Mus musculus: one gene and its partners. The protein of the gene in region 3 binds, or shares a complex with, the protein of the main gene of each other region. Links are inferred from orthologs where the notes say so. Each region holds a gene or a part of one and is shown on either strand. Other genes may lie near its edges.

Region 1 (4,261 bases), on a different chromosome or scaffold from region 3:
CATTCGCAGCCTTCATGTCCCTGTGCAGGATCTGAAGGGAGGACACACAAGAGCTCAGTCAGGTTTCATAGCATCCTGGAGCCTGGCCTACACAGCAGTCAAGAGCAGAGAAGCCCCATTCTGCCCCACCTTGTTCCTGTGGATGTAGTAGAGGCCGTTCAGCAGCATCTGCATCACTCTCTTGATCTCAGACAACGTGAACTTGACTAAGACGTTGCTCAGCAGCCCAGCAAGGTCATGCTCACAGAAGTCAAACACCAGATAGATGCTGCCCTTGCAGCGGTTATACGGTGAGGCTGATACAGAAGGGGCAGAGAGAAAAATAAAAAATAAAAACCTGCATCCACCTCATTTTCCACAGCCAACTCCCAGCCCTCCAACCCACAGACACCCAACTCCAAACAAGACCAGAGAAGATGGGGGGCCGGCACTCGGGAGGCAGAGGCAGGTGGACCTCTAAGTGTGAGGCCAGCCTGGTCTATGGCGCAAGGTCCAGGACAGCCAGGGTTACACAGAGAAACCTTGTCTCAAACCCCCCTTTTCTCCTGAGGCAAGCAACACACCTTTGGTCCGACAAATCTCAATTAGGTTCACCACATTCTCATGTTTTAGGAGCTGTAGAATCTTGATTTCCCTCAAGGCTGTGATGGGGAACTAGGGAGGAGAAAGAGGAAGTGGTCAAAATTGAGAGCACAACAGACGGAGGAACTGTGGGTGGGGTGGGGGTGTGTTTGGGGTCTATACTGAGGGACAGAGGTTGAAAGACAGGCGAGAGAATCGTTCCTGTGTGATGGTTCCTATCTGGAATCCAATTCTCGTATCAGGAGACAGAGACATCAGAACCACCAAGTTCAAGGCCAGACTGCTTAGTTGAGCTCCTGATTCAAAAAGAAGGGAGAGGGGAAGATATATCTATATTTATCTGTAGCTAGCCTTTGCAAAATATAAAATAAGTGCAAACACACACATATCTCAAGGAGCTGCTAAATGTTGCCATCTAGATAATGGTGGCCTTGAACTTGTTTATGAACCATCTTTTTTCCCCAGTCTCATAAGTGCTGGGATTATAATCACAACCCTTTACTCCAGACTGGGAATTTATTTTAGACAACCCAAATAAGGATAAACATTTTGTCACTAACACTTGTGAGTTAAGATCAAGAAATTTGTGGGGCAGTGGTGGCGCACGCCTTTAATCCCAGCACTTGGGAGGCAGAGGCAGGTGGATTTCTGAGTTCAAGGCCAGCCTAGTCTACAAAGTGAGTTCCAGGTCAGCCAGGGCTACACAGAGAAACCCTGTCTCAAAAAAACCAAAAAGATCAAGAAATTTCCTGGGAATGGAGATAGTTGAATGGTTAAGGAAACTGGCTATGGTCACGTGTGGCAGTCCAGCCCTTTATTTCCAGCAGTCAGGAAACACAGGCAGTTGATCCTCTGTGAGTCTGAGAACAGCCTGGACCAAACAGTGAGTTCCAGGACAGTTGGGGCTACAGAGAGATTTTGTGTCAAACAAAACATAGAGTCCCTGTTTCAGGGAAACACACACACCACAGCACTGGCTATCCTCCCCCAGGACCCAGGTTCAATTCCCAGCACCCACACAGTGGATCTTTTGTCCCAAATGATCCAAGGCAACCTGGCACACCTTTCTGGCTTCCTCAGGTACCCAGGTACTGGAGAATAGTGCTGTACACAGACATGCCAGAAAACAGAAGACCCTATAGACGCAAAGTAAGACAAACAGCATTTTCCTTACAAAGGCAATGCTGCTGAGGCTGATGGAAACAACACCTTTCAGAACATCACCTTAAGCTCAGCGGCCTTTTAAACGGCTTGTGCACAAATGGTCTCTTCATACAAAACAAAATTCAACGCCAAGCTAAGCTGAAAGTTTTCTAGAGTCAACCTGCACTCCATGGGAAAAGCACAGGCTCCCTCCCGTGGCTCCCACAGAACTCTGCCACTAAAGCTCAACAGTGTAAATGGAAAGCCAAATTCCTTGTTCCATGGAAAACCGAAAAACACTAGGTCGAATCTCAGCACAAAACCCTTTGAAGTAGCGGTGTGGAAACCCAGCCAGGTTAGAAGAAGGTCGGCCCAGTGGTCCATATACTCACCCCCTCCTTCTCATTCTCCATCAACACTTTCTTCAGAGCCACCTTCTGGCCCGTCTGACGGTGCTTGGCTTTAAAGACTTCCCTGCAGGCACAGAGAAAGACCCAAGGGACCCATAAGGCATTTCCGCAGGGAGTGCCCCTCCCCCGCGCGAAGGGGAGCAGCAGGAGCCCAGACCCACGGCGGGCGGGGTGCGGCCTCGGATCCGGGACGCGGTCATTCCACACCGCGTGTCTTCCGTCCTCCTCCCGGCCTCTGCTTACTCCTACTCAGCCCCTACTCCTCCCCTAGAGGTGGCCGCTCACATTCGGAGTGGCTCTCAGCAACCCTACCCAACCCCCATCACGGGCCCCAGGCTCCTCCCCGCCAGTCGGCTCGGTTGGGCCGGGAACGTCTGCGCCGCGGCCGAGCAAGACCGGGCAACAGCCACGAAAACAGAAGCTTCCGGACCACCTCGGCCCGGGCTCTGGGCGACCCGACGTCGGCCCTGGAAAGTGCAGGTCCCGGGCTCGCGGTCCCACGCGGCCTAATCTTACCCGAATGTGCCTTGGCCGATCTTGGCAAGTTTCTCGTACTTGGTGACCTCATCGCAGAACGGGCATTCCACCGAGTCGTACTGCTTGGCCATGGCCACCTCCAGCGCGCCTCCGCCGCCGCCGCCGCCGCCGCCCCCAGCCGCAGCTCCCGCCGCTCCCGGTCCCGCCACACTCCAGGCCCCTCCGCGGCCGCGCCACTTCCGCCTCCACGGCCACTTCCGGCCTCGAGGTGCCGAGCCCGCCTCTTCCGGTCTCCGCCCGCCGCCAGGCCCCCTGGGACTTGTAGTTCCCGGGAGGCCAGGGGGAGCCGGAGCTGCAGAGGAGCCTCCGCCGCCGCCACTGCCCCCGCCTCCGCCGCCGCCGCCAGCGCTGTTGGCGGCCCCGATCGGGGGCGCAGGAAGCCGTGGCGCTGGGGCTGGGGCTCGCGGCGGTGCGTCCCGCTGCATTGGCCCGGGCCGTGCTGCTGCCGAAGCTGCTGCCGCTCTGGCTCCCGATCCGGGGCCAGCCGCAGTGCCCTGCTCCTCCTCCTCCGACGGCGCCGCCTCCGCCGGGCTGCGCGGGGCGGCGGGTGGTGGTGGGGGGAAGGCCTGGGGGCGGAGGCTCCCTGGCCAAGCCCGGCCCGGGGCGGCAGGGCAAGGGGGCGAGATAGGCAGAGCAGACGAGGAGGCGGCCCGAAAGCCCGGGAGGGGGCGCGTTATAAAGGGGGAGGTGCCCGTCCTGGCCTCCCCTCCCCCTCCGCCCACCCCCTCCCTCCTCCTCCCACCCTTCGCAGCCGCACCTGCCGCCGCCGCCTCCCGCCCTCCCGCTCCCAGTCCAGCGTCCGCCCTCGGCGCGTCACTGCTCGCAGCCCCTCCTCTGCCTTTGGAGGTGGGGCTCCGCACTAGACACCTGCCTGCGGCTCCCTCCTGCGTGCCTCAGTTTATCCCCCGAATGCCAGCTGCTACAGAATGGCCCTTCTTCCAGGACCGGGAGTGTGCTCCCGGTGAGGCGAAGGCAGGAGGTGCCGTGGGAGCGGCCTTGAGGCCAGGGGAAGAGAGAACTGCCCCCGCTGCCGCCTCCGTCGTCTCAGCCACCCGCCGTTGACATGGCAACTGACGGCCGCCAGGGGGCGCGGCGACACTGTGGGCGGTGAGCGATCAACGCTCAGGCCTAAACCCTTGGATCTTGTGTTGTCAGGATGGATCTACTACAACCTTCCTTCACAGAGCCGCGCCAAAGCTGGTCTGTCCAGAGTCAATCATCCCCAAAACTGTTAACATTGAGCCGGCACTCCTGATGCTTTTGAAATGGGCGTGAGCCGGGCCTTGATGGCGCACGCCTTTAATCCCAGCACTTGGCAGAGGCAGATGGATTTCTGAGTTCCAGGCCAGCCTGGTCTACAGAGCCAGTTCCAGGACAGCCAGGAAAAACAACAATAACACAGAGAGACAGAGAGGAGAGTCTGAAGTCTGTTCTGTCTTCCTCTACTGTCTTGAAATTCTGAGCTGATCATGGCCGATTTTTCCAGCGTTTACCTCCTGGTCTGTGGTCCTACAAGCTCCCTTCTGTTTCAGTTTCCCAATCCCTCCTGTCTTCAGAGTTGCCACCCCACTCTCCAGGGTCAGCTGCAG
Region 2 (4,364 bases), on a different chromosome or scaffold from region 3:
AGGAACTGCACCTCCGGGGGAATATCTAGACCACAGGTGACTGGAAGAGATCGAGTCCCACTTATGGGAGTTCGGATCAGCCATCCTACCATTTCTGAGCCTTGTTTCCCCACGAGAACAGGTTTCATCTCTCTGGGGCCCCACTCCTCCACATCTTTACCTTGTGCTATGAACAACTGGGCGCACCAGATCTTGGTCTTCCTGGCGCAATGGTTTACAGCTGGGTTTGCCCAACAGGAGGTACTGGCAGAAGCATGGGGGGGGGGGAACATATCAGGTCTCCAGTCCCGCTGTGACTAGCACCCCTGGTTCTGCTCCCACACTTTATAGACAGTGACTGACTATTCATGCACCTTTGCTCAAACCATTCTAATCTGAATTCATCACCTACCCCTGCTAGCATACTGGATTATAAAGGAGTTATCACCAATAACAGATCAGGGACCGCTTTACTACCTGGGACCAGGCACTGGGGCCATAGTTACCATGGCAACTTCATTAGGCAGGAGTCATGGGCTATAATGATTATTTCACAGAAATTATTGCTCCTAATCTACAGTGGAAGCTGTTTAAAAAAAAAATCACTGAGGACACATGAGTATTAGTTGTTACCGAATTCCAAAAGGATGCAGCCTTGGCGATTAGGAACATTGGCTGCTCTTCTAAAGAAACCAGTTTTTAATTCCCAGCAACCACAGAACCCCTGACAACAGTCCCTAATTGCAATTGCAGTTCGAGGAGACCTGATGCTCTCTTCTGGTCTCTGCTCACACACCCATTCGGGGAAAACACTCATACACGTAAATTAAAAGGGAGTTGGGGGCGCTGGATATGGCAGCTCTGGCCTGGTAGGGGCGACAGAGGCAGGCATATCTCTGTGAGCTCCAGGCCAGCCTGGTATACATAATGAGTTCCAAGGCAGTCAAAGCTACATACTGAGATCCTGCCTGAAACCCCGCCCCCACAAAAAAGAAAGAAAGAGGGAGAGAGAGACAGAGAGACAGAGAGAGAGAGAGTGAGTGAGTTGGGCCCTGGCCTTCAGACCAAAAGCCTCAACCTCTGCACTTCTATTACAGTCGCGTTCGTTTTTTTCGTTCTACACCACTTTTGACCACTATTACTATCCTTAAAGGAAAATAAGTTCCCCTCCGACTGTCAGACAGTTAAACCACTTGGTTAAGAGTGACAGTCCGGCCGGGCGTGGTGGCGCACGCCTTTAATCCCAGCACTTGGGCGGCAGAGGCAGGCGGATTTCTGAGTTCGAGGCCAGCCTGGTCTACAAAGTGAGTTCCAGGGCTACACAGAGAAACCCTGTCTCGGAAAAAAAAAAAAAAAAGAGTGACAGTCCGGGGCTGGAGAGATGGCTCCGCCGCCACACCTGATGACCAAGAGTTCAATCCCCGGAACACACATGGTTAAAAGACAACCGTGTCCACGCAGGCATACAAGCACAAGTTTAAAATAAGAAGAAAAAAAAGAGAGAGTAAAAGCTTAAAAAGATAAACACTCTCAGGTGCGGTGGCACCTTGTGCAGGAGCCCCCTCAACGAGCCTCAGTTTCCCGGGGAAACCGGATTAAACACTATTCAATGGAATACTTTAGGGACGCCCTGGGCGCGCACTGAGCCGGGGACGCGGGGACTCACGGTGGCTCACGGCGTCCCGGCGACCTCAGCGGTCTCCATAACCACGGAGGACCGAGGGGGCGGGCCGGGCCTGGGGACCCGAAGGGAGGAAGGGAGCCCGCCGCCGCCACCCAGGCCGGCCAACCTGCTCCTCCAGCCGCTCGATCTCCAGCTGGTTCTTCTCCTCCTCCTCGTCGTACTCCCACTCGTCCTCCCCGGCGGAGCTCTCGGCGGAGGAAGCCATGGCGTCCTCCTCATCCCCATCGCTCCCGCTCGCGCCTTCCCGCTGCAGGTCCCATCCGGGGCCCTTGGCCTCCGCCGCCTCCGCGGCCACAGCGCCGGACAGCACCTTCCGCTGCACACCGGCCGGCTTCGCCTCATCCTCTTCTCCCTCGGCCTCAGGCCCGGCCTGGGGCTCAACCTCCGGCTCGGACGCCGAAGATGCGGCCGTCGTCGCCATCTTGCGCAGCCCGCGACTCTCGGGTCTTCCCTCGCCCGCCGAAGCCCGGCGAGCATCGGGCTGTCCGCGGCGTCTGCCTGATCAAAACTCCGCTCGGCCACCAGCGGGAGCGTCGCGGACGGCCTCAGGGAGCAGGAAGCTGTGGAGAATCCACCGCTGATGCTATCCTTTAGCGCCTCCAGACGCCACCGTCAGAAGAAAAGGCTCACGAGCATAACCTGCGTCCGGCTACAACCGTGGACAGCTGTCGGGTCTTTGGGCCGGAAGTGGCAGCCACAGCTGAAGTGGTGCGTGCGTGATGTCCGTAGTTAAGGTCGAGGCGCCATCTTAGGAAGGTCAAAGTCGTCGCTTTGGACTAAAGACCTTCTGTAAGGCTCGGCCGGCTCCGGTGCGTGGTTGTTTCCCGGCAACCGACCCTCAAGTGCGGACAAGATTGCAGTTCCTCCGCGATCGGATGCACCATCTCATGGGAAAAGTCTCATCTCTCGAATAAAGCTCCCTCCCCTTTGTAACACCTAGTACCTCGTAGTTGTGTTAAACGAGTCGCTTTTGTGGATTTTTATAGTCAATGATAATACATTACAATAAGTATTGATTCGGAATGATGTGCATGGCGGTAAAACAAACGTAGGTGTCGAGGGATGGGGTTCGTTTCTCTTATACCCCTCGTTCTCGAGGTCGGAAAAGCGTTGCTGTTTCCCTCTGCACTGCCTTTCCCCTTCATCAACAAGGTTAACGAGCCAGAAATCGCGTCCGTTTTGCTCCCAGGATTTTTTTTTTTTTTTTTTTTTTAGTGACACCTAGAGTACACTTAATATGCATTTGCTCCATGGGTGAAACGGCTACCTCGGAATTAGTAAAAAAAAAAAAAAAAAAAAAAAAGGAAGAAAGAGAGAGAGAAAGAAAGAAAAGGAACTCCACAGCCTGAACAAAAGTCTACCAGGGACGTATGCATGATCGAATCATAAACACGCCTGAAACCGAGCATCCCCACGCCCATCGCAGCACCAGACAACCTTGCACGCCGCTTCGGACCTTCCCGCTCTGCGCCTGGCCACGCCCCTTCCGAGGGCGCGGTCAGAGGGGGCGTAGCCGGGCCGAGACGCCAGCGCAAGCGCCGAGCTGCGGTGACGTCGAACGGGCGCGCCATCCCTCCGGCGTCGCCGAGGTCGACGCAGCTCAAGCCGGCAGGATGGCGGCGGCCACGGGAGCTGGCCGTCTGAGGCGGGCGGCGTCGGCGCTGCTGCTGCGGAGCCCGCGCCTGCCCGCCCGGGAGCTGTCGGCTCCGGCCAGGCTCTACCACAAGAAGGTATGGGCGGGCGAGGGGGTGCGCGAACCATCGAGGGGACCTGCCGCCGTTGCGCAGATCACCAGCACCGAGGAGCCCCGCGGCCGCCTCTGCCCCGCCGCGGCCGTCACTCCGAGTGTCCCAAGGCTGACAGCCCAGAAGGGAGGGTCCGGGTATGTCGTGCCGGGGGTCAAGGGGCAGCACGCACACACACACACACACACACACACACACACACGCATGCTTGAGCACACTCGACAGCACCAGCGTCCTCCCCAGCTAAGCCATTGCCCTGGCCAGATGGCCTTGATCAAGTCACTGGTCCCCTCCCATCCTTTCTCTCAGACCTGACAGGAGTCTTCTGAAGTCCCCGTACGTGGAGCGCTCGGTCCAACCAAGGGAAACCACTGATGGCGATTTATTTACTCTTTTAGGAGCCGATGGCCTCGAGCTCAGCCAAGCACCTAGCCCAACATTAAAACTTCGGTTCTCAGTTGTGTGTTTATTGGTAGGGAGCAGAAAGTATAGAAGAAGAGTAGTTTGCGGGCCCCCACGCTTTTAGGGACGTTAAAATCCTCTTGACAGGAGACTCACTCCGAAAAACAAGGCTACCGCAGATGTACAAGACACTCCCTCCCCCCCCCCCCAAAGTCCTTGATTAGATGATGCGTTATGGGGGCTCAGGGCTTAGACTCAATCTGCAGATGAGGGTGCCTCCTGGTAACTAGCGGGAGAAAGCTCGGTTATTAAATCTTAGTGTGTCCCTGACTTTAACAGCTGCTTGTTCTGTTCTGGCTTGGGTGCTCTTGCCCAAGGCCTTCTACCCCAAAGGGAAGGTTGTTTTGTTGACATTATAGCTGCAGGACCTTGACGGGCTGGCAGCCTTAAGGCACCAGGGGGCGCTCCTGCCACAGGGTAGCGCTGTGTTTATGTTTACAGCCACCAATGACTCGTTCGTTCCCCAACCTCCAGCTCATCTCTGACCTTGAAAC
Region 3 (2,915 bases):
AAGTGATCCAAAACACAGCAGCCAGACAAGCACCTTAGCACACAAAACCTACAGCTTGTCCAGTACTTTGTCTTCTTCCAGCTCTACTCGTAAAAGGGGTCCCCCGGAAGAGACTGGGGCAGCAGTATTTGATCATCCAGCCAAGATTGCCAAGAGTACTAAATCTTCCTTGAATTTCCCCTTCCCCCCCCTTCCTACAATGACCCAGTTGCCTGGGCATAGCTCAGACACAAGTGGCCTGCCCTTTTCACAGCCTAGCTGTAAAACTCGAGTTCCTCATATGAAACTGGATAAAGGCCCTCCTGGGGCTAATGGTCACAACGCAACTCAGTCAATAGATTATCAAGACACTGTGAATATGCTCCACTCCCTGCTTAGTGCCCAGGGGGTTCAGCCCACACAGGCCCCTGCATTTGAATTTGTCCACTCTTATGGTGAATATATGAATCCCAGAGCTGGTGCCATCTCCTCCAGATCTGGCACTACAGACAAACCTCGGCCACCACCCCTCCCATCAGAACCCCCTCCACCACTTCCACCTCTTCCTAAGTGAAAAAAAGAAAAAAAAAAAAAAGAGGCAAAAACTTCAAAAACAAAAAACACTTTTTTGTTTTGTTTTTTTGTTTTGACTACTGATATTAGACTACGAAAATTACATCCCTTATGAAATCTGTCACCTAAGGAGTAAATTGCTATTGAGACAAGTGGGCGGGTGGTGGAGGGAGGGCCTCAGTTATTCGATCTGCTGCCTCACATCTACAGTTCGTGCTGGTATTAGAGAGGTGGGATTATGTCGAAGCTGTGAAGGATGAAGAACACACTCTACTCTTGGCCTCTCTTCATCCTAACTAGGTTGATTGGAGTAGTTATCTTCCCTCTTCTTGCCAGAACTAAAATGTGGAGGGCATATCAAGCGGTTGTGGATGCTTTTGGTGTTAAACATATCAGAAGAGAGGAAGTATTTAAACGTCAAATCTTTAAGAGACTTTTAAAAAATAATTTAAAGAAAGTAAGTTATGTTTAGTTTTTTTTATATAATCGGGAGGGAAAGGGATTTTGCTGTGTGTATGAGGAACATAGCAGTGACTGGTGGGGGGGGGGTGGGAGGGTGGGAATGTGTGCAGGGTGGGGGGGAGGGTAGGCTCTTGGCCAAGAGTGAAATAGGCTCAGGCCTCTTGAAGTATTGAGATCTTTAAAAGTGCGTGTGTGCTTGTGTGTGTGTGTGTGTGGGTGTATGTGTGCATGCGTGTGCGCGTGTGTTTAAAATCATGTTACTTTATTCCTCCCATTCTTAACCATTTTCACATCTCCGCATTCTACTAGAGAGATAGTTGGCTTTGACAATAAGAAGAGACATGTATTGACAGTGTGAGTCCTCTCTTCCCTTCACCGCAGGCTTGCGTGGTAGCAGCCCTCTCGCTTCTAGTTCTGACCTGACTCCTGCGCCAGTATGGAAACTTCCCTGTTACTTCTTTTTGTGTTTTCAACGCAGCATGGAGGTGGGCTTGAGGAAGAAGCCTATAAAGCAAGGCCGGCCTCTCTCCTACAGAATGGGGTCTTTTCATGTTGGGCTTTGCGAGAAAGCTCAGGTCTCTGAAGGGAAGAAGGGTATGCTTTGCTTGTCCTGTCTGAAAAGACCAGACCATGTGTGCTACTAGGACTGGGAGAAGCCAGGGGGTTAAGATACTAAAGACAATGAAATTGTGATTTGGAATTCTGAAGACATGGTGTCTAAGTTACATTATGAATGTAAAGAGTTTATCTAGTGGGAAACAACTGCAGTGTGCAGCCTGTTTGGCGTCAGAGCTTGAATTTCACAGCATTGGTATAATGCATGAGCAAGCCCAGCCAACAGACACTGTTGTATTCAGATTATTTCTTAGTGGCTGGCTTTTGATTCTAGACAGAGATTCTTAAAGTCCTTTTAAAAAAGTGGATCAGGAATCCTGTTATGGGCCTTGATTGTTCCAGACATTAGAAGTAAATATATTTGATGAAGGAAATCTTGAAAAAATACTGACTAGATAAAAATTGTAAGCCAAGCTTTCTGACTGAAAAATGCTACCTAGCCACAGATCATTGCTGTTATTTGGTTCATTGCATGAGTGTGTATGTGTGTGTATATATGTATACACATATATATGTGTGTGTGTGTGTATGTGTACACACACATATATGTGGGTTTTGGGGGGTATGGATAAGATGGTGCTATGAAAATAATTTGTCTCTTGTTTTAATTAATGAAGCTTCTGTCATGCCAAGTAGTCTTTAGGGAGAAGTCAGAATCTTTTCATTAAAAGTCATAGGGAAACAGAAGTTGTACGGGTGCTGCTTGCCAAGGACAGACTAGAAAAGACACTGAGGCAGTTACTAGTGCTGACACACTGGCCCAACGGAGAGAGAATGTATGGGAAGGAATATGTCTTACTTACGGTGACTTTGTGGTTCTTAATCTGCATGTTTGAGTTGTCTGCAGCGCCTGCCGTTGCTGTGCACAACAAGGAGCTCCTTGCTGATAAACCAGTGATATTTCTTGATGTGTAACTTTTGAAGTAACATTTCTTTCTTGGTATTTCCTGTGTTGTGCAAGATAGATGTGTCATCATGATTACTAACTTTAGGCTTGGTATTTGTTGAGATTTTGTTTTCCATCCTGACCTTCCCAAACGGAAAAGTACCTTTTAGTTTGCATCTTTGTCTGTGATGATTTGATTTGGGGACGTGGACTGTTTTTTTAATCACTCTCATTAATGTCACGTGTTTTCTAATCACATGCAATCCCTTAGCACAAAGGTTGTCATATTTGGTGTCATAGCATTTCTTCACAGTAAACCTGTTGTTAAGTTTCCTAGAACTCTGTAGTGGACTAGAAATAACTGCTTACTAGAGTCTTCTAAAGAGCTACTTCATGCTGT

The links.
Region 1: the proteins of Ccnt1 (region 3) and Cdk9 are in contact, whole or in part, in a crystal structure (PDB 3BLH), measured with the Homo sapiens proteins. The link is inferred for Mus musculus from reciprocal best matches to the Homo sapiens genes CCNT1 and CDK9. Residues at the interface, in NP_001231.2 of Homo sapiens: Arg5, Lys6, Arg11, Trp12, Arg26, Ile72, Gln73, Phe78, Phe89, Leu90, Lys93, Val94, Pro98, Lys99, Lys100, Leu101, Val134, Glu137, Ile139, Leu141, Gln142, Thr143, Gly145, Phe146, Glu147, Leu148, Thr149; in NP_001252.1 of Homo sapiens: Val8, Glu9, Cys10, Pro11, Phe12, Cys13, Lys56, Glu57, Gly58, Phe59, Ile61, Leu64, Ile67, Lys68, Gln71, Leu72, Leu81, Ile82, Glu83, Ile84, Arg86, Ile99.
Region 2: Ccnt1 (region 3) and Sart3 share a complex: the UniProt entries of both Homo sapiens proteins name them as parts of the 7SK snRNP complex. The link is inferred for Mus musculus from reciprocal best matches to the Homo sapiens genes CCNT1 and SART3.

What each region holds. Positions count from the first base shown.
Region 1 is NC_000068.7:32,709,914-32,714,174, forward strand, and holds the start of Cdk9 (cyclin-dependent kinase 9), read right to left. Parts: upstream 2,872-4,261; 5' UTR 2,744-2,871; coding exon 2,652-2,743; intron 2,200-2,651; coding exon 2,118-2,199; intron 879-2,117; exon of another isoform or gene 655-878; coding exon 564-654; intron 297-563; coding exon 130-296; intron 32-129; coding exon 1-31. UniProt on the Homo sapiens protein: Protein kinase involved in the regulation of transcription.
Region 2 is NC_000071.6:113,769,552-113,773,915, forward strand, and holds the start of Sart3 (squamous cell carcinoma antigen recognized by T-cells 3), read right to left. Parts: upstream 2,850-4,364; 5' UTR 2,085-2,849; coding exon 1,770-2,084; exon of another isoform or gene 1,646-1,769; intron 1-1,645. Other genes in the region: Iscu (iron-sulfur cluster assembly enzyme ISCU, mitochondrial), read left to right, coding at 3,034-3,393. UniProt on the Homo sapiens protein: U6 snRNP-binding protein that functions as a recycling factor of the splicing machinery. Promotes the initial reassembly of U4 and U6 snRNPs following their ejection from the spliceosome during its maturation.
Region 3 is NC_000081.6:98,540,849-98,543,763, reverse strand, and holds part of Ccnt1 (cyclin-T1), read left to right. Parts: coding exon 1-553; 3' UTR 554-2,915. UniProt on the Homo sapiens protein: Regulatory subunit of the cyclin-dependent kinase pair (CDK9/cyclin-T1) complex, also called positive transcription elongation factor B (P-TEFb), which facilitates the transition from abortive to productive elongation by phosphorylating the CTD (C-terminal domain) of the large subunit of RNA polymerase II (RNA Pol II).